Caenorhabditis elegans: one gene and its partners. The protein of the gene in region 4 interacts with the protein of the main gene of each other region in a pairwise test. Each region holds a gene or a part of one and is shown on either strand. Other genes may lie near its edges. The genes, in order: C46H3.2, nhr-8, ztf-30 and nhr-21.

What was found.
Region 1: the proteins of nhr-21 (region 4) and C46H3.2 interact in a two-hybrid assay, tested with the Caenorhabditis elegans proteins (one large-scale study listed by BioGRID).
Region 2: the proteins of nhr-21 (region 4) and nhr-8 interact in a two-hybrid assay, tested with the Caenorhabditis elegans proteins (one large-scale study listed by BioGRID).
Region 3: the proteins of nhr-21 (region 4) and ztf-30 interact in a two-hybrid assay, tested with the Caenorhabditis elegans proteins (one large-scale study listed by BioGRID).

Annotation. Positions count from the first base shown.
Region 1 is NC_003284.9:1,227,759-1,232,344, reverse strand, and holds the start of C46H3.2 (Caskin-2), read left to right. Parts: upstream 1-1,586; 5' UTR 1,587-1,598; coding exon 1,599-1,644; intron 1,645-1,940; coding exon 1,941-2,084; intron 2,085-2,238; coding exon 2,239-2,384; intron 2,385-2,822; coding exon 2,823-2,918; intron 2,919-3,193; coding exon 3,194-3,304; intron 3,305-3,357; coding exon 3,358-3,474; intron 3,475-4,586.
Region 2 is NC_003282.8:7,709,402-7,714,737, forward strand, and holds nhr-8 (Nuclear hormone receptor family member nhr-8), read left to right. Parts: upstream 1-1,742; 5' UTR 1,743-1,747; coding exon 1,748-1,828; intron 1,829-2,376; coding exon 2,377-2,469; intron 2,470-2,517; coding exon 2,518-2,810; intron 2,811-3,135; coding exon 3,136-3,232; intron 3,233-3,278; coding exon 3,279-3,486; intron 3,487-3,689; coding exon 3,690-3,890; intron 3,891-3,936; coding exon 3,937-4,407; intron 4,408-4,454; coding exon 4,455-4,524; intron 4,525-4,599; coding exon 4,600-4,768; 3' UTR 4,769-4,797; downstream 4,798-5,336. Other genes in the region: emc-6 (ER membrane protein complex subunit 6), read right to left, coding at 1-102, 146-225, 278-327; mrps-24 (Small ribosomal subunit protein uS3m), read left to right, coding at 646-738, 787-892, 945-1,045, 1,130-1,324; F33D4.6 (aECM cysteine-cradle domain-containing protein), read right to left, coding at 4,940-5,336. UniProt on the Caenorhabditis elegans protein: Orphan nuclear receptor.
Region 3 is NC_003281.10:8,594,764-8,599,779, reverse strand, and holds ztf-30 (Zinc finger transcription factor family protein 30), read left to right. Parts: upstream 1-1,909; 5' UTR 1,910-1,936; coding exon 1,937-2,081; intron 2,082-2,159; coding exon 2,160-2,279; intron 2,280-3,075; coding exon 3,076-3,291; intron 3,292-3,339; coding exon 3,340-3,501; intron 3,502-3,547; coding exon 3,548-3,990; intron 3,991-4,036; coding exon 4,037-4,144; 3' UTR 4,145-4,470; downstream 4,471-5,016.
Region 4 is NC_003280.10:7,337,442-7,342,229, forward strand, and holds the start of nhr-21 (NR LBD domain-containing protein), read left to right. Parts: upstream 1-1,787; 5' UTR 1,788-1,821; coding exon 1,822-1,837; intron 1,838-4,788.

The DNA of each region.
Region 1 (4,586 bases), on a different chromosome or scaffold from region 4:
AAGTGAGATGATATGACAAATGATCATGACAACAAATGTACATACACATTTATTGATGGAGAGACACAGATTTTGGGCGTCCGAATTCCCTTGTTCAAATCTCATCTCAAGGTCTCTTATCTGGAAAACGGAACATAATAATGATAACAATGAGATGATGATGAAGAGGAAAAGGGCGTTTATGAGAATTAACATTTTTATTCTTTTTAAGTTTTATATGTATCTCTCGAAGGAGTACAGATACAGGGAAAATCGTCACAAAAATGATTTAATTTTGCGATTTTTTTAAACACAAATATCTTGGATGGTCTTGAGACGACAAATGTTTGCTTCACTAATTTTTCATAATTTCTTTTTTTTTTTCCTCTAACTTTCTATTTTATTCAGTTTGCATAAAAAATTGTTGGCCGAGACCGGGTACCGTATCAAAACAAACTTGCTTCGTTATAAAAATTAATTTTTAGATATGTTCCAGAAAATATTCACAAAAACCTTTTAATTTATTATTTTGGTCAGTGCAGAAAATAAAGTGGTCAGTGCACTCTAAGGTTGGTCAGTGCAAGAAACTAATAACAAACTTTGTTTGTGAACATTTCTAGTCTGCTTAAAGTTTTTTAAAAAGAAAATAACCAAAAATAATTTAAAAACGGACAAACTCATTTTTGGCAAACGAAAAGAAAATTTATTTCAAAAAACAAGCTTAATCTTTTTTAATATCATTATTCTGTCACTTGCATGACGCGTCCACTAAATTTGTAATTTTTTCCTTTTTTCATATTCAGTTTTTTGACTTTGTAATGGAAATACAAAAATTATAGAAAATTAATTTTTTCGAATTTTTCTGAAAATATAATGGAAATTTCTGAAGGTAAATTATGTTTCTAAAATTATTTGCCAGTAAATAAAATAAGAGAATTAAAAATGGAAGTTTGGAAAATTACGTTGAAATAAAAAATATATAAAAACGATTTTTTTTTTCTTAAAAGTTTGTTCGTCGGAAATTTCAACAAAACCAGAGCTTTTGATTTATATACTTTAAAAAAATGATTTTGAGAATAATTAAAAATAGCTTATTTAAATTTCAACTCTGGTCATTTTTAACCAAGCTTTCCAAAATTTTAAGTATTTTTATAGTAGCTGTAGTTTAGAAGGCTCAAGCGTTTCATAATTATAGTCAATTCCAAAACGATAAAATTTGAATAGTTTAAGATTTTTTTAAATTCGGTATATATTTTAAGGAAATTTTTAAAGCCCATTACTAATTATTACGATTCTTTTTTTAAAATTTGTTTTCCTTGATCTTCTTGAGCCACAACCGCCACAAAAAAATAGCAAAAGTGGATTGTATTATTTGCGTAGATTTCCATTCGTTTGTTATCACAAAAGTCGTCGCCCTCTCTCTACCCCCCGAATATCCACCCGTACCTTTTGCTGTCTTTCGTTCTCTGGCGGAAGTACTCAAGTGGAGAAGGGATGTGCACTAAAAATGTGTATTTTTGTGATTGAAAATGCTTCTTTCTGCAGTTTTTGATGTTTTATCCTTTTTTAGAATTCGGTTTTTTTTAAATATTTAGTTAAACTTGCAGAGATCTTTTGGTATGTCCAGCAAAAAACTTCTTAGGAGGTTTTCATCAAGTATATCAGGTGGGTGAGATCATGTGGCAGAATTAACATCAAAAGTGGAAAAAACAAGTTTGGCGTAATTTCTTATAAAAATTTAAGGATTTTAGCAACTCTAGGCATGGTCAGTATAAAAAATACTTGGTCAGTGACATGGTCAGTGCTCCTGTTAAAATAGGAGCAGAAAATTGAGATTGTTTGGTTTTTGAAAAGAAGCTCAGTTTTTCATTTTTATAATTGTAAAATATATGTTCTTAAAAATTTTTTAACTGAGAAAAAATAATTTCTGGGAGTAAAACACTTTTTTTCGTTTATTTCAGATCTTCTTAGCATACCCAAAAGAGACCTTTGTGATAATGAAGAATTTACACCTTTACATAATGCAGTCAAAATGGGAAATACAGTTATGGCAAAGAATTTTATAGATTCGAAATCAGTGTGGATAGATGAGCCGGATTGTAGAGGTAATTTGAAATTTCTTAAAAAATAATAGTTTTTGCAAAATTAAAAAAAAAACCCGTTTTGAATTATCAAGCATTTTCTGAGCGGCAATTTCAAAATTCGACTTCAAAAAATACTAAAACGTGCACCAAACTGTATTAAACTTTCAATTTTTAGGCCAAACTGCTCTCCACTTATCCATCACCTACGGTGATACCGAAATGACGTCACTTTTACTGAAAGGCGGTGCAAACGTGGATTCCGTAGATTATGATGGAATTTCGGCATGTCATATTGCATGTAAAGACGGTATGATTGATCATGTAGGTTTTTTGGATTGGAAAAGTTATGTGTCAGTTCTATGGGACCCCATCTTTTAAAAAAATGGGTAAATAAAAAACTTTTGTAATGAATTATTGCTTTTTTCGGATTCAGCATGTTAATAAATTATGCTCCCAAAAATCTCAAACACTATTCTATCACTGACTGAAAATATATTAACTGCGTCAGTTTTATTTTGTTTTGAGACCCTTTCAAAAAAAAAGTCACTAAAGTTCTAGATTTTTCGAATTGAAAAAAAAAACAGAAAACTGTGTTAAATCAGGGATTCTTTATTAATTGAAAATTGAGAAGTTACGTAAAGTTTATAAAAAATGGAAGTTTTTTTAAAGCTTTTTTTAATAATGACAGAATTAAGGGTGTATAAAAATGTTTCAATTTAAAACAAAGTAATTTCATTAAAGTGAATTAAAAATTTTCAGTTTAACCTACTCATCTACTACCATGCAGACATTTGTTTAGTTGACAGAAGTGGAAGAACACCATTCGATTTGGCATGTGAATATGGACAAGAAAAGGTTTGCTACCTACTAGGGAAGGAGGCGCGGTTTCAAGACCGGACGCCTGCCAAATATCTGCACTTATTTTTGCACTATGGCGAGATGCAAAAAGCTTAGTGTTTATACCTCATAGTGCAAAAAGTTGATCTTTCAACGCGGCCGACACCTTTCGGTTTTGCGTCGTACCATACAAGAGGCGCGGTTTGCGGCACGAGATAGACACGGCAGTTCTTTTGCCGCCTGTATGGATGCCCTACTACCTACCTCTTGCATTGCTAAACAGGAAATTTCAGATGCTGGAGCGATTATTCAGCTGTGGCCTAAGAAAGATCAATTTCCAATATATGGACCATCTCCACACAGCTTCGGCATTCCACCTGGCGGCTGGAAGTGGTCAAGTTCAGGTTTGGCAAAATTTTCAGCTTACTAGAAATCTAGGCTAAAATTAAATTTCCAGATTTTATCAATGTTACTTCAACACAATTGGGATTTGAATTTTGTGACAGAAAGCGGGTCGGCTCTTCACATGGCAGCTGGCTCTGGACAAGTTCAAGTTGTTCGGTTTTTGCTGAATGTAAGTGCCTAATTTTTTATTGTTAATTTTCCAAGTTGAATAAAAATGGCTATCTGTTATTTTGTATGCCAGAATTTGTGTAAAAACCATTGAACGAAAACTTACATAGTTCAGAATAATAGAAAAGCCATGGTCAAAATCTTTGAAAAATCAAATTTAAAGATGTAATGGCTACTAGCTTTTAGTTAAAAAAAATCAAATTATTACAAGAGTATTAACTTTTCCATTTTGAAAAAAAAGGAATAAGTGGCTTAATTATTTTTAAATTCGTTTTCAAATGAATGCAAAATTTTACATTTCCAAAAATAAAGTTACGTTTAAAAACGATATTTCACTTTTGATTAGAAAATTTCAAAAACCGATGTATCTAAACATAAAACAGAAAATTAAAAATTTACAAAAAATCCATAAATTACATATGGAGCTCTAGAAATTATTCAGGCTTTCTAATTTTTCATTTGCGAAATTTAAAAAATCAATAAAAATTCAGAAAAGGTTAATGTATCTATTTTTAAAAATATTCACCAATTTCGGTCTATTTTATTTTTTTTAACTCCGCAGACCACTCTGATACATCTTTAGCTAGTTTCTAATTTCTGAAATTTTCAAAAGGAACTATTAGGTTGGTCGAAAAGTCTTTGCAAAATTTGTACTTTTCTTCATTTCTCAGCGTTAATTCATTTTTTTCTGATTCGGTTTTTTTTGCATAGTACGTAATGTGCATGTTTAATATATTAAAAAAAAACTTTTGGGTGCTGTTCAAAATGACCGAGAATTTGCTCGCCGAACGTCACGCCCTCCGATGGGTTTTTCTGTACGAGTTCCCCCAAATCTGCAATTGCAACGAAGCTCGTCGTAACATGTGTGCAGTGTTAGGCAAGAACTCTGTCACCTATAATACCATGAAGTTTTGGTTCGAAAAGTTCACGAAAAAGAACTACGATCTCGATGATAAACCAAGATAAGATCGCTCTCGTTTGAATATCGACGAGGATATTTCGAGAGCCCTGGAAGATGATCCAAGAGCAACGAACCGCGAACTTTCTGCGACTCTCAAGCATCCCCAAAAAACCATCATCAACCATCTCCACGAAACCGGAAGGGTAGAAAAG
Region 2 (5,336 bases), on a different chromosome or scaffold from region 4:
TCAACCAGTTTCCTTGTGATTTCACGTTCCATATAACGGCCTGGATTCCAACAGAAATGAAATAGAGAATGAAGCCTTGAAAACCGGTAAGTCCGAGAATTCCTGTAAAAGAAGGATTTTTTAAATGATTTTTTTTGAAAATTACCTGCTGCCATACCGGCGGCGCACGACTGACACGTTCTTCCAAACTCGAGAGCTTCGACGTTGTTGGTTATCGCTGCCGTGCTGAAGAAATATATACATGATTATTGAATTCATGATTTTTACTTCGACTCACTTGTAACACTCATCGTTCTTCTTTTCTGCTTTTGACGATTTATCGGACATTTGAAAATCTGAAATTACAAATAACACTAATAATCAAAAAAGAACATGTTCTAGAACAACATAAAATTATTTAAAATTGAATAAAACTGGATTGCAAAGGGAATTTAAGAATTAAATAGAATAAATTAATAAATTTGTCTCTGAGAAATCTGTGCATTCTGACGTGACAGTGTATCAGTCCTGGGGAGCGCACTTGCAATATTCTTTTTTTAGCTAATTTTTTTTCTTTAAAAATATTGCATTTGCCTCGCTTTTATACTGAATCGCTTTTATAAATATATTTTTCTGCTTAAAATATTATTTTTATAAATTTCAGACATGCTTCGAAGTATACAACATGTCGAAGCCCTCAGCAGTCGTCAAATTTCGACAACATCGATGCTTCTCAAGAACAGAGCGGGTAAAACCAAGGTTTGTTGATCTTTCAATTATTTTCCCATTTATATTTTGCAATTTCCGTCTACATCAAATAGAACACAACTTCTTACATACGAAATGGCTCAAAAACCACATCATATTGGCGTGCGAAAATCGTGGCTCACATGGCATTCACAGAATCTCGAAGGTTTGTTCCAAAACTGAATTACGATTTAACAATTTTTAAAATTTGTTTTTAGAATTCCGTCAATCTCAACCACTGGTTGTTGCACAAGATGAAGTTGTTCGTCGGTTCATTCGAGGATTTTTCCCACAAAATTTAGTCGTTAGTGGAAATGAGGTAATAACTTATCAAAAAAATTTTAAAATTCAGTATAGTATCTATTTCTCTTATCCAAGTTTGCAAAACTTCACATTTTTCCAGATTGTAATCAAACGACGAGGAAACGTACTGATCGTTGCCGGATTCCTTCAATATTCGCGTCGACTCGATATTCGAAGAATCTACTGGATGTTCGGGTTTGCAGAAGAATTTCTTTCCATTCTTCTGAAACAACCAGTGAAGCTAGAAATGGCATTTGTGGAATCCGAAGAAGATGTAGCATACAACTATATCTAAAACTTTCATCTTTGTTATAGAACCGAAATACCGTAGTTTTATTTTACTTCTTTAATTGTTTCTGTTGTGTTCCAAAAAACAAAATAAATCTGAATTTTGGCATTTGGATTCTGGATTTTGGTCCCTGAAAAATATACGAGAGTCAACGATAAGACTTCATAAAATTATCAATCAGCGCATTGGTTTGACAAAAATCAATAAATATTTGTGCTCACTTCGCACACTGATAAGCAAACCCCATAGTCTTTCATACAAACTATTGCGCCCTTTCAATCGTCCTTTTTAACTATACGTGAATCACAGTTAACTATGCGTCGCTCATATAATCACTGATTATTATTCGTATCTTATTCCACTTGTGGTGTGACTTATCTGCAAAACCTAACAACATTTTAATCACTAAAACAAAAATTTCGTCATTCCATGCCTTCGTCTTCTCCATCGATGGACGAGTCTCGAAGGTCTGCTGTTCCACCAAAAGAGCCTGCTGGCAGAATTTGCACAGTTAGTTTTGATATTATTTAGAATATAATCACTTTATTGAAGAGCCTCTTGACGCTGGTTTAAAAGTTGAAAAAACCATCAGAAAGTTGTAATTTTATTTTGGAAACGGCGTGAGATTTTTCGATTTTTGCTTAAAAAATACGGTATCCGGTCTCGCCAAGACAAGTCTTTAAGGAGTACTGTAATTTCAAACTTTAGAAGAACATGCATATTTAACGTGAAAAACTAAAATAAAACACATAAATGTTTTTAAAAAAGTATTAATAGCTATGAATTATCAATGAAAATTCCACAGCTTGAAATTACAGTAATCTTCAAATGCACACAGCTTTTTGTACTGAACAAAGATTGTCGTGCCGAGACCTGGTACCGTATTTTTGACCTAAAAATCAAAAAGAAAATTCCGTTTGGATACATATCGTCTTTTCCAAAACGTAAGATGAGTTCCATAGTGGATTACTACAAATCTGGTGGTATTTTTGTAAAAATATAATAGAAAAACGTTTTTTCATTTATACTTCTAAACCAACAATTGTAATTAATTTTAGGTTTGCTCCGACCGTGCAAATGGATACAATTTTGGTGTACTCACTTGCGAATCTTGTAAGGCGTTTTTCAGGCGAAATGCTTCAAAGCATAAGGTTTTAAAAAAAAAAGCATACTCAAGTTGTTAAAAATTTTGTGTTAAGGAAATTAAATGTCCTTTCTCTGATTCTTGTCAAATCACATCAGCATCTCGCAAGTTTTGCCAAGCTTGTCGATTGAATAAATGTTTTGCTGTTGGAATGAACAGTGAATGGTTAAATGATTTGAAACCGAAGAGTTCAATTGTTTCTGGAAAATTCAAAAGAAAGAAGCCTGATATGAAGAATAACTTGAAAGTGGAAGTAGATGATACTGAAGAAGATTTGGAAAATGATGATGAAGAACAAATTAGTGTCCCCAAAGCATTACTTGAAAAGCTTATCAATAAAGCTAATGAGTAAGTTTCAATGAAATTATCCGGAAATAATAAACTACTGTTTCAACAAATTTACTATAATATAACGGGAAAATAACAAAAAAACGCCTTTACCCCAGAATGCAAAAACAGTAGCCGCGCACGTATGTAGGCATGAAGAAGTGCCTACCATGGCAGCCTTAGCACGTTCTCACATTTATTCAATTGAATCTATTTAATTAAAGTGGTCTCTCGATAACCTGTGATATGTACCGTATGAGAAAGTACAATTATCTAATCAGTAGATCACACAAGACCACAAAACTACGTCACTCTAGTAACAGACAATCGTACATTGAACTTTCAGAAAATCAAAAGACAGATGTACATGCAAATGCCAGTGTGGATTCTATCCAATTACTCAAAGACTCACCGCATACGAACCAAAGGATACAACAGCTGTGGTTAGTAGAGTTTAAAATACAAGAAAATCAATTATTTTATATTCAGAACAGTCCACAAGATATATCATTCTCCCATCATCTTCATCATTCGGATTCGTTTTATTCTTCATCTACTTCAACTCTTTCTCCAATGTCGGTTATCAGTTGTGCTCCATCTTCACATGATTCCAGTGGTTACAATACTTCTCAACTTGTTACTCAATCTCCAACCAACTACACAGTTTCTCCGGCGTCTATACCGAGCTCAATAACTGGTATGTTTTTAGGAGCAGCTCGTGAAGCTGAACGCTAGAACCTCACTGTCAAAAATGTTTGACAACAAGCCAGACATAACTCATCTAGAAGGCTATCACTACGAATTCAAAGTAGGCAGAAGAGTTACGTCCGCCTTCCGAGCCGACAAGAAAACACTTTTATTAATACGTACTGAAGTAAAGAATATACGTCTAAAATTTAGAACTGTCTCCACAAATGCCATCGCAATATCCTCCAATGTTATCACCATTTCAATTTGGTGTTATGGCCCAAATGGCTGCGCCAGCCAACTTTTTGAATTTTCCTCCAATGCCTGAAAGAACATGGACTCCAATTCAAGCAGTGTCCACAGTTCCAGTAACTGAAACTCTACCTCCAAATTTGCTAGAACAAATTCATTCAAGTACTGTTTCATGTCATCCATAAGTTTGAATTTTGCAACTTTTCAGAGATTGACAAATACATTGGAGTTTTGAATGAAGACGAGATAACTCTTTTAGAAGAACTTCATGTACAAAATGAGCCATTAAATGCTCCACTAATTCAATGGCACAATCCGAAAAGCATTGATGGAGTTTTTAGAATAATAGAAGAAGCTCTACGAAGGATTGTTAACATGGCATGCCAATTAAGTCTATTCCGAGAGCTTCACGTGGACGATAGGAAAAATCTCTTGAAAAGTGGATTTGGGGAGTTGTTGATTGTGCGGGGTCTTATGGCCTATGACAAGAGTGATAACAGCTGGAATCATTCATTTGGAGTACGAGGAAAAATGGAGGTAAAGGTGGAAGTTCTTAAGAATCCAAAACTTGAAGAACATTACAAAGCACACATGAACTTGCTTTCAACGTTTGGAGAAGATGTGAGGAATAATGAACATTTGATGCTCATTTTCAATGCAGCTGTTATATTTCATCCTCGTGAGCCAGTTTTTCAAAATTGATTCGTTTTAAAGTTATTAATTCAGATGTCTCCAACTTACGTGATAGTAAACGAGTGCACTCAACACAAGCAAAATATTTCCAGATGCTCTTGAAGTAAGTACTGTACGAGAAAAGCACGTATTGTATAACTTTTTGATTATAACATTTTTAATATTGTCCTACTTTCAGACTTCTTACATTTGAATATGGTAAATCACGTGCTGACATTGCATACAGTAATCTTCTGAATCAAGTCGTCGAGCTTCATCGTGTGAATAGGACCTTACTTCGTGTGTTTTATGGACTAGATATTGCTCAATTGGATCCTCTGATACGAGAATTATGTTCTTTTGAATAACCATTTATTAACCATGAATTATTGCACATATTGCACACTTATTAACATGAGAAAGTTTTTGAGAAAATTGCACAAAAGTCAAGGGCAGAAAGATGGAGAAAATATTACAAACAAATACACGTAGATCTGGATCGAAATCAAAATAAAAATTAATATAAAGGTATTAATTAATTACTCCTCTTTCAACCACTTTTGGCACTTGGCAACATAAGCATGAGAACGAGCACATGTTAGTGCTGGATAATAGTTCTCAATAAAGTAACAGTGCTCTTTTGCGAACTCTTCAACGGTATCAAACAAGAATTGACGTGCGAAGCTACGAAGGTTCAAGCATTGATGCTTTGTCACAACAGCTCTCTTTTTGTTTTTCTTGACACGTTGAGCACGTGTAACTGGAGCTTCAGTGGTGGTGGTGGTTGTTACATCTTCTTCTTCATCTTCAACTAACTCTTCTGCTTCAATAACATCATCTTCCTCTTCCTGTTCCACGGCAGCTGTCACAACTTCTTCCTCTTCTTCTTCTGGTGTAGTTGTTGGAGCTTCAGTAGTAGTTGTTGTGGTTGTAGTC
Region 3 (5,016 bases), on a different chromosome or scaffold from region 4:
AATTGAAGCAAGGATCATCTTGTCGATGGGCAGGATATACCATCCGAGTATCCGCCTATTTTTTTTCATTCGGGCCAACTTTTTTTTGCTGTTAATGAAAACTAATACGGAAAACTTTTCAGGAACACTAGTGAATATGGTGTCATTTCAGAGGTGTCAACTTTTTTCCAGAAAAAGGAAAGTTCCAAATTAGTAGTTTGTGAACTTCTATCACTCTGAAATGGAAATGTTTCCTTCTGCTAATTTTAAGGATGTATTTTAACAAGTAGCAACCCAACTGCCGGAGCTTATGTGTTCGAAATAATTCAGAACCCATTCCCCACTGCCTTCACATGCTTACAATTTATTGAGATTTTCTCCCCAATTCTAGCACATTTTTTTTCCAAATTCTTTACTTCCACTTCATCTCACCTAGCTTCTCCTGGAAACCTTACGTCATTCCTCTAGTCTGTATCTCTTATTCTTCTATACTTTCTCATCTTCTCCGGTTTGACCTAGTCTTTGCGTATTGACACTTTCGTCTTATTCCCTTCAATCCATTGCCGTCCGTCTTCATCTTTTTTCCGTCTTAGCCGTCTTGGTGACGATGGATAATTAGCGGAAAGGATAGGTGTATTGACAGTTTGACCTTGTATAGTTCATAGTCACGGGTTGCAACATTTCGGTGCCACGTCATTAGGCTTATTACAAGTGCCTAGTTTTAATCTAATGTTTATGGTCTCTTTTTGGGATATGGGAACCAAGTAAACTGAAATTTGCACGGCTTTTTCATTTGTTAAATCTAGAAAAAAGTCCCTAAAGATGTGCCTTTTTTGCAAACACTCCCCCGCGATTAAACTTTAAACCTACTTAGTTTTCTTATGCAAAATCCATCATTAAACCTTTTTTGCTTCACTTTCTTAGAAACAACTTGTCCGACGATTTTGAAGTACAAACCATAAACTTTCTTCGAAGGATTTTCTTTGGATTTTAAAAACAGGTCTCTCAAAAAAGATTAGAAGATTATGCTTTAAGATTTGCCCAGATGATCAAACAATGGCTGATGAAATTTTTAAATCTAGCTGTTTTAACCATTTCATAAATTTCAAAACAAGAGACTATGTCAAAACTTGAATACACTAATAATAGTCCAACATGACCAGCATTTTTTAGAGTTTTCTAAAAACTCCAGAGATTGTCTTTTTAGAGTCTCCTAAAATAAGTGAATACTGACAAATTGCCATTTATTGGCTACTCAACGTTCACACTAAGTTCTTCTTTTTTCTACGAAAGAGTTCAAAATTAAAAAACGTCTTCTAAATAATGGAGCAAAGAGTCACAGTTTGGAAAAGCCTCCAAACAAGTTATTCTTGGAAACTGTTGCCCCAAAAATTCTGTAAATATATTAGGTACGCGAAACCAGGCAATAATGTTGAAAGATAATACTACGATTGCTGATTTCAAGCTCCTCCGATTTACTTTTAAAATTTGAAGCTTCTCACACACACGTTCTCATAAAATTCCCGTGCTCCTGCTGCTCCAAAACATTGAATGCAATGATTCATTCGTTATCTGAGTTAATCTACCGTATCCTTGCAGCACATTCTATTTTAGAAATTCAAGTCATTCTTGTAAAATGATCTGGATTTGGGATTACATGACATACACTAAAAAGAGAATGGATCATTCTTACCGTCAGCGTCATTGATCTGGATGCCTGTAGTTAAGCTTTTTTTATTACTTTTTGCATCTTTCTTCTTCCTCCTCCGTCATCATAATGGCCTTTTGCCTGCACACATTGAAAAGTGCCTATGTGCTCAAAATGCTATGAGCTCACACATCTTTTCTTTCATTCGATTTTCAGATTTTTTACTTCCTCATTTTATCTGCCTTTGTATTGTTTCATGTGTCTTCATGTTTCATGATTCAGCTCAAAATCATGCATCTTGAAATGGATATGAAGCTGGAAGACGATAAAATTCATTCACCCACAAATACAGAGGAGGAAGGTTACGGTAGTGACGTGGAGGTTGAGAATGGAACTGATATCAGTGGATCCAAAGGTGGAAGTGGTGTTGAGTTAAAACGACCCGATTTAAAAGGTTTGTAAGTTCTGGGAATTGTTATTAGTCCACCAAATCTGATTAGGTTCTTACTTTTATAATGATTCTGAATTTCAGGTTCGTTCCGTTGCTCAATCTGTTCAAAAGTTTTCTGTCATTCTTCAAGTCTCTCCCGCCACCGTATGCAGGCTCACTTCAAAAGCTACAAATGCACAGTATGCCGAAAAGATATCTCAAGTAAGTCGGAAGTTATTTATTTTTTATTGACAATGAGGTGATCTTCCGAGCATTAAGAAAAATCCTCAATCACAGATTTTTCGAAATTGAAAGAAAGATAATCATGACATTTGATACAAGAATGAGCTGCACATTTGAGCTGAAAAGCTGCTGGAGACAAAAATATGAAATAGAATGAAAACTTGTTCGATCAGGGACTCAGAGAGCTTTTGCTACAAAAATGTATTAAGCTCCAGTACATCTTTTGATTTGATCTCCTCATTTCCCGGGTTTAGCAGGGATACTGTAGAACATTTTGCAGAGCAAAATTGTGCAGTGCAAAACCACTGCTATATTTTAAAGCATCCACCTATAATATTTGAACAAGCATATTGTTTACACCTGAATTGTTTATCACATGAAACACCGCAAGAAACTCGTTTTTATTGTTGTTCGGGTATAAGCATCTGTATGAACAATTATTGTTTACTATCCATCCACTCTCCGGAGAAAGATTCCTCTTGATCTCATTCAATTTTCACTGTTTCTTCATTCTCCGGACGATTGAGGTCATCCGGAGAAATACGAAATAGTGGAGACGCAGACGCAAACACAGTTCTCACTTTTCGAGAACGGGGACAATTGAATGAGGTTGCGCAATGGATGAGAGTGGGGGCAGAAGGGAAAAAAGTGGAGGATTGGAGCGAAATTGTAAGGGGTCAAATAATGGCTTTGGGATAAGTAGACAAACTTTATAGGAGTACTGTATTTGAATTGGGGACTTTGAATAATAATAAAAAACTATTGTAATTTGCAGGTAGTGAATCTCTTCGTACTCATATGTTCAAGCAACATCATATCTCTCGAATGTACATGTGCCGTTGCTGTAATTGGGCTTTTCCTGATAAATCACTTCTTCATATTCATCTACAAACTGCCACTAACAACAATGACAGCAACAACAATAATAATAGTGTCATTCCTCATGGAGTTATCAACAGAAGCTGCCACCTCATTACAGATCCATTCCAGTGTAAGACTATCAGATATGAGATGAACATAAAAAGATTATTGATTTCAGTAATCCGTACTCCACTTCTAAATCTACCAACCCCACAATCCCTTGAATCATCAGTACCTTCTCTTCCAATTGCAAGCATCCCAATCCCTGCTCTTCAATCGCCTATTCGATCTCAACCTCAGACACCTTCATGGCTTGCAAATCTTCCAAAACCCATACCTAGTAAGTTACATACAAAATATTTGTAATGCTTATGATAATATTTCAGCTACGGCACCAATATTTGTAGCAGATTCAAAAGAAAAAATAAAAGATGAAGTGGAGAAGCCCGATGTGTATACTTCACAGTCACCAACTTGCTCATCAGTCAGCTTCAAGTCTGATCTTAGTGCATTCCATCAGTTGTGTTCTGATCGTGCTCTTATATCATCTCCATTGATTGATACAGCTTCACCATCCTCATCATCTTCTTCTTCAAGGATCAGTCCACGTCATGAATGCTTCGACTGCCACGTCAGCAGGACAAAGATATTGATTTCTGAAAATAAATGCAAACTGTTGGAACACAAAATTGGTACGATGCAACAAGAAAGTTTAGAAGCAAATGCCCAAATGAATGGATTGGAACAAACTGTGCTCAGATTGAGAATGGAAGCACACGCGCTCCGTGAGCACAATGAGCTATTCCAAAGGAAATTGTTAGAGTGTCAGGTAAGATTTCAGATCAGAAAGAAGTATTTCAAAATTATTTTTTCAGAATCTTGCCGTGAAATTTCTTCAAAATGACAAAGCTCACGACGCCTCGGAAATGAATTCATTTCTTCGAATTCTCATAAATAACACAATTTTGACACGTCCTTTTTAGAATTATCTTTTTTCCAAATTTCTCTGAAACCTCAAACTTCGCAAGCTTTACTATCATGTTAATATTGTTTCATTTTTGGAGATTTCTCATAATTTTCGCAATATTTTTTACCAATCTCAGAACTATATTTTTTAACTTATTTCTTCCTGTTTGCGGGATTTTTTGCTTTTTATTTCCAAAACAAATATTAAACAAACAAATCAAAATCATCCGATCCGTTGTGTTCCTTCTGTGTCTCCATCTCCATAATTCTCAGTGCTTACGTTGAATATACATAATTGTAATATAATAATAATACATACTTGATATAAATTTAAATGCTGTATTCTACGTTTCTTCCAGGAAATAACTGAAACTGATCAGAGAAAGTCAAGAAAGTAAAAAAACAGTATAGAAAGTTGAATAATGTGTGTTCCAGAATTTTTGGTACTCTTTCAAAAAAAATTTTTTTTGAAAAATACATTTACAAAAGACGTAAACGGATTTCTTATCCAGAATAAACAAATAACTAAATAAATCCTCTGCCAAATATCCATGGTAACTGAAATCTGAGAAAGCTCATTTCTTAGCTCTTTAATTCCAACAAAAAATCGATGTCCATTTTCACTTAAAGCGACCCAAAAATACCAAATTTAGTCATGAGCCTCTACCAATATCCTGAGCTCTGTTTTTTTTAATGTTAAACTCTGTTTCAGCTAAATTCTCAAATTTCGCAAAGTCAGTTTTCATCAAATTATTATTTTTCATAGCAATTTTGTCATTATTTTGTGGGTTGTTTCGTTGATGTGCTGATAGGTGCTCACATTGAACATTGTCATTGCTGTCAAAATTTGACCATTTCAGGAAAAAAAAACTTGACGAATTTGGAGCAT
Region 4 (4,788 bases):
CAAAAAAAAATCCCGGTGCAAAAGATAACAACCACGTGACATTGACATGTTAGCTTAGAGTCCTTGAACTGATGTAATAATTAGCTGTTGTTCCGTCCTAAGCCAATTGGCCCCTGATAATCTTCATGACGTGTCAAAAAAGTCATCTGACTGTCCCCAAAAAAGGCGGTCTTCATTCAGAGTGCGTAAGAAAAATGATAAAATAATGTTCCAATTTGTGTCTCCAGTCGCGTTTTTTCCACACCCGCCGTCCGCCACCAGCGAGCAAAGAACATTTCGAGCGCGTGTTTCAATAGTCGTCCCTTTAATGTCTGCGTCTTTTACATTCCAGTACACTATTCATTACGGGTTTCTCTGTCTCTCATCTTCATCTCCATGTACGTGTTTGCACGATTCGGTTCCCGTATACCTTGTAGGACAGGTGTGTGTACCGTGTGAATACTGCCGTACTTATCTTCATGCTTCCTACTTTTACTTTAACACCTATTTGGTATGGTTGTCAAGTTTCAGATTAAGCAGAAAAGTTCACTACGAACATATGTAGTTCTGATTTGACTTTCTGATGACTTTCTGATGAGTTGACCTAAAATATGCACTTTCTTTTAGATTAATCTCGGAGATATACCCAGTTTAGCGAGAAGAAAGAAATTATGGAAAAATGTTGTTGGTCATGGGTCACGAAACATAATAGTTTTCAATATAATAAGATTTACATAACTAAATTTAACCCGAGTTAAAGTAATAAGTCGCCTTTTGCAGTTGGTTTAGAATTTGGGCTCTCGTCTCTGTATTGTCATCCCTAATGGGCTTTCGTTTTTACAGCTTAAAAATTAATTTTTCATGAGTTCTCCCTTAATTTGACTTTTTAATAATTTTTGAAACTACTCAGTATGTTGTATTTCTTTTAATAACAAAAGGTTATATCATTCATGGATTTGCCACCTAAAATTATGATTTTTTTTTGTTTTTTACATAGATGCAACCAGGTTTTGTATTTGGTACTTGCGTAGAACTATTATTATGAAAAGCCTGTATTTATATCTTTGTTTTTGTTGATCAGTTGAGGTAGTTTTCTTATCGGTTAGTTCAAAAAGTTAATGCGACATTTCAAATTTGTGCATATTTTGCTTCCCCCATGACCACAAATAATTTCGGCATTTGTGTAGTGTGTAGTTAGAAAAAGTGATACTGATGTTAAAATTAAATATTTCAGACTTTTCTAGTACGCAATTTTAACTAAAAAATGGTGATTAGATATTTTATACCGATTTCAAAACGTTTTTGATATGCGTAGTTCAGAATTGACTACGGATTTATCGGTTATCTCATTTTTGTTCTTCTCTCAAGTAATATTTTTTGCAGCCAAATTATTATTTTAAGGAAACTGTAAAAATGTAGGTACTTATTGTTAGAGGCTAGAACCACAATGAAAGTAAAGTATGTTTCTGTCTCAAAGATGTTATAGTCTTCAGAACCAACCTCATATGGCAAATTTAAAGCTTGAGTTTATCTACCCAAAAGGTTACCTTTTAAACATTTGAACTTTGAAATCAAACCGGATATTTGATATCATACAATCTAGTTGTTTCCGTGTGTATCAATTTTGTAGGTTGTAGTGTTCGTTAATTGAGAACCAAAATATTCATTTTCGCTTTCATTTTCCTCTTTCTTCCATCATACTTCAATAATTCAAACACGTGTAGTTTGTATGTTTGTTGATAATGTTTTTATTGCCTTTTCTCTCATTAATTACTCCTCCCGTGATATCCAACTGTTTCGTCTTACAGGTGTCCTCTTCACAGAATCAAATCGTCACAAATCATGGGCCCTAGATCAAGTAAGTGATTCCCTTTTCTCCTGCGAATTGTTCATTGCTTCCTTTTCCTATCTTCTTATGTTTTCCTCTTCTTGTTGATTTCTCTATCATATAACATCTTGACCAGACTATATCCATAACTTTATAATCTTTTAAACATACTTTAGCTAACATTGACTTATAGAAATTCAATTGTATTCAATTGATAGAAAACATGAGTTGTGGCTGTGAATAATAAACATTCCAACTTAAAATGTTTTGTTCTTCTCAAGGATTGAATACCAAACTTTAATGTTGCGTACATATCCTGGTGCTTACTAAATTTATATTTTATTCGTATTTTTCCTAATTAAGTTTTTACCAATGTAGCCTTTAATAAAGTTCAAATTAAACCAACAATTTTTCTTTTGTTTCTTTTATCGCAGATAAGCCGGTAAAAATTGGCACCAGCCATAAGCATACAAGTAACTACTTCCTTCTTTTTTCCTTGATAATCTGTTCAATGATCCTACCAACCGAACACATCTTTCATTCAGTGGCTCTTCACACCTTCCCTCCCATTTTCACTTTTTGTTCCGCACAGCCGGTTGTTTCGTTGCTCACCTCCCATTGCTCCATACTCTCACGTCCTCTCTTTTCTATTCTTTAAAGTACAATTGTGTGGAAATGGGTCTGCCACTTGGGCAGTTATGCCCATAGAAACTCCACGGGTCATCTCGACTTTCAAACCTATCTAATTTTCATGATGTCATGAATTACTTCATTTCATTTCATGTCCTCTGTTTTCATATCATTCTTTTATTTCATCCTTTTTCTCTTTTTTGTGATAATAGTTTTGCGTTCATTTTGTTCATTGGTAATTTAGTTTTGCTAATTAACATATTCTGCATCGAATTACTATCCTTATTTCTGTTTTCTGTACTCTTGTTTTTCTGGTCTTATATGACAAGATCATTGAAATAACACGCATTCCTGTCTGCCTCAACGAACTAGAAGAAAAACACATATGAGACCAGGGAGGAAATAAAAATTCTAATCAAAAGCCTAGAGGAGTTTATGACGAAGATGGAAAACATGAAAGAATAAAGAAATTAACTAGAATTTCGAAGAATTTTTTTCTGATATCTTGTCTTTCTACGTTATAATAATCTGCCAAATTCAAACTGCCAAAATGTAAGAAAAAACTATATTTTGAATATTTTAAAACAATATCTTTTGAAATCCATATTTATGCAGTTTCGCCTTTAAATAAATTTACAGTTTTTGATTCATGTATTTTTTTTTTCCTGTTATGACAATTTTGATTTTTGTAAGCAAAACATATTTCTAAATTTTAAATGATTAATATCATCTTAATCGGATTATAAGCACTGATTTCAACCTTATATTTCTATAATCACTTGCGAGATATCAAAAGATCAAAAGGTTTCACATTAGTAAAAATTTTGATAGCTATAATTAAATTGCAGGATTTGCAAGTATTCCTCGACTATAATTATTTTTACCAGCAATGAAGGGTTCCCTATCAAGTGATAGGATTAAATTAAAAACAAAAAAGTAAAAATTGTTCGTTGTTCCCCCTATTCTTCCTCTGTTTATTTCTCTTTTTCCTAGACTCCTCCGCGCGAGCGCAAAATTAATGGGAACAAACAATCGGAACAAAGTTCGTCGCAATGAGAAATGGAAGAGTTGACTGTAGTTTATGCTGCTCGGAACAGATCACAATATGAATGGACAGTAGGAAAAAATGAGCGAGACTCCTCTTTAAAAGTGTGAACAGTTCTTGCACTATTAGCAGCCGAATCATTTTTTGTACATTTCTCTATTCGTGCTGATTGCTTCTCGGCTAATCCATAGATCATACTATATCAGAGATCGCTATATTTTTGAAGAGCACAACTACTACTCTCAGAATGCACCGTCAAAGAGGTAATTGTTATAATTTATAAATTCACAAAATTTTCTAAATTTCAATTCCATGTTTTAAAAAAAGTCCACAGCACAAACTTCAAAAATTTTGAAATAAAGCTTAAGCTTCACTAGTAAGTGTCAAATGAAACTTGATACGGACCACTGCAGTTTTAAAACTTTTGAAAGTCATTTTATACTTTTTCATTTGCACTGGTGGAAAACGAACTTTTGATATCATCTTCCAGCATGTCCTTTAGTTCTTTCTCTGAATAATCTCATTATTATTTAATTTTCCTCGTCTGTGAATAGTTTTTTTTTCAAAAAAAAAACACAATTTTCCAATCATTATTATTCGTTTGAACACCTTCTGGTTTGAAATCTTTTGTTAACTTCAATGGTCACAAAATTTTTGTGACTCTTTTTCTCTAAACTCTCACTGCTCTTTCTTTCTTTGCCTTTTTGCAAGACATTTTTTACATGCCGTGAAATTTTTGTTCTTGGATTGATGTATGTTATTATTATAAAATTTAATAATAGTCGTGCTTAATGACGTAAATCATGTAGTTCCGTTTTGATTTGTTCAATGCTCAAAGGGGGATTTGAACGTGTTGAAACCAAAACTCATTGCTATAAATAAGAAGAAAAAGGCTTTGATCTTTAATTTTGATCAGAATGTTGTGGTTTTCGGGGATTGGCGCTCTACACGATAATATACGATGTGTCCCTGCTACGTGATTTTTTGAACATTTTCGGAGGAAGAAATCTAGAAGTCAGGGTTAATGGCTTTATATTTTATTCTATTCTGATGAGAATTTACAACAAATTGGTTCCTATTTTCTTGAAACATTTGTTTTTTCCAAACTATGCACTTAAAGTAACCACGTGTCAGATCGTGATTAACAAAACAGATGGTAGTGGGAGAAGGCGTCGCGACAGATCAGAAATGGAGATGATTAAAGATCGCACAGATTTTTTATATTTTTGTGATAGAGAGGTCGAAGAGATCAACTGTATGCAGTCAAAATACGCATTTTTATGACAAAAATATTGAGAACAATTCG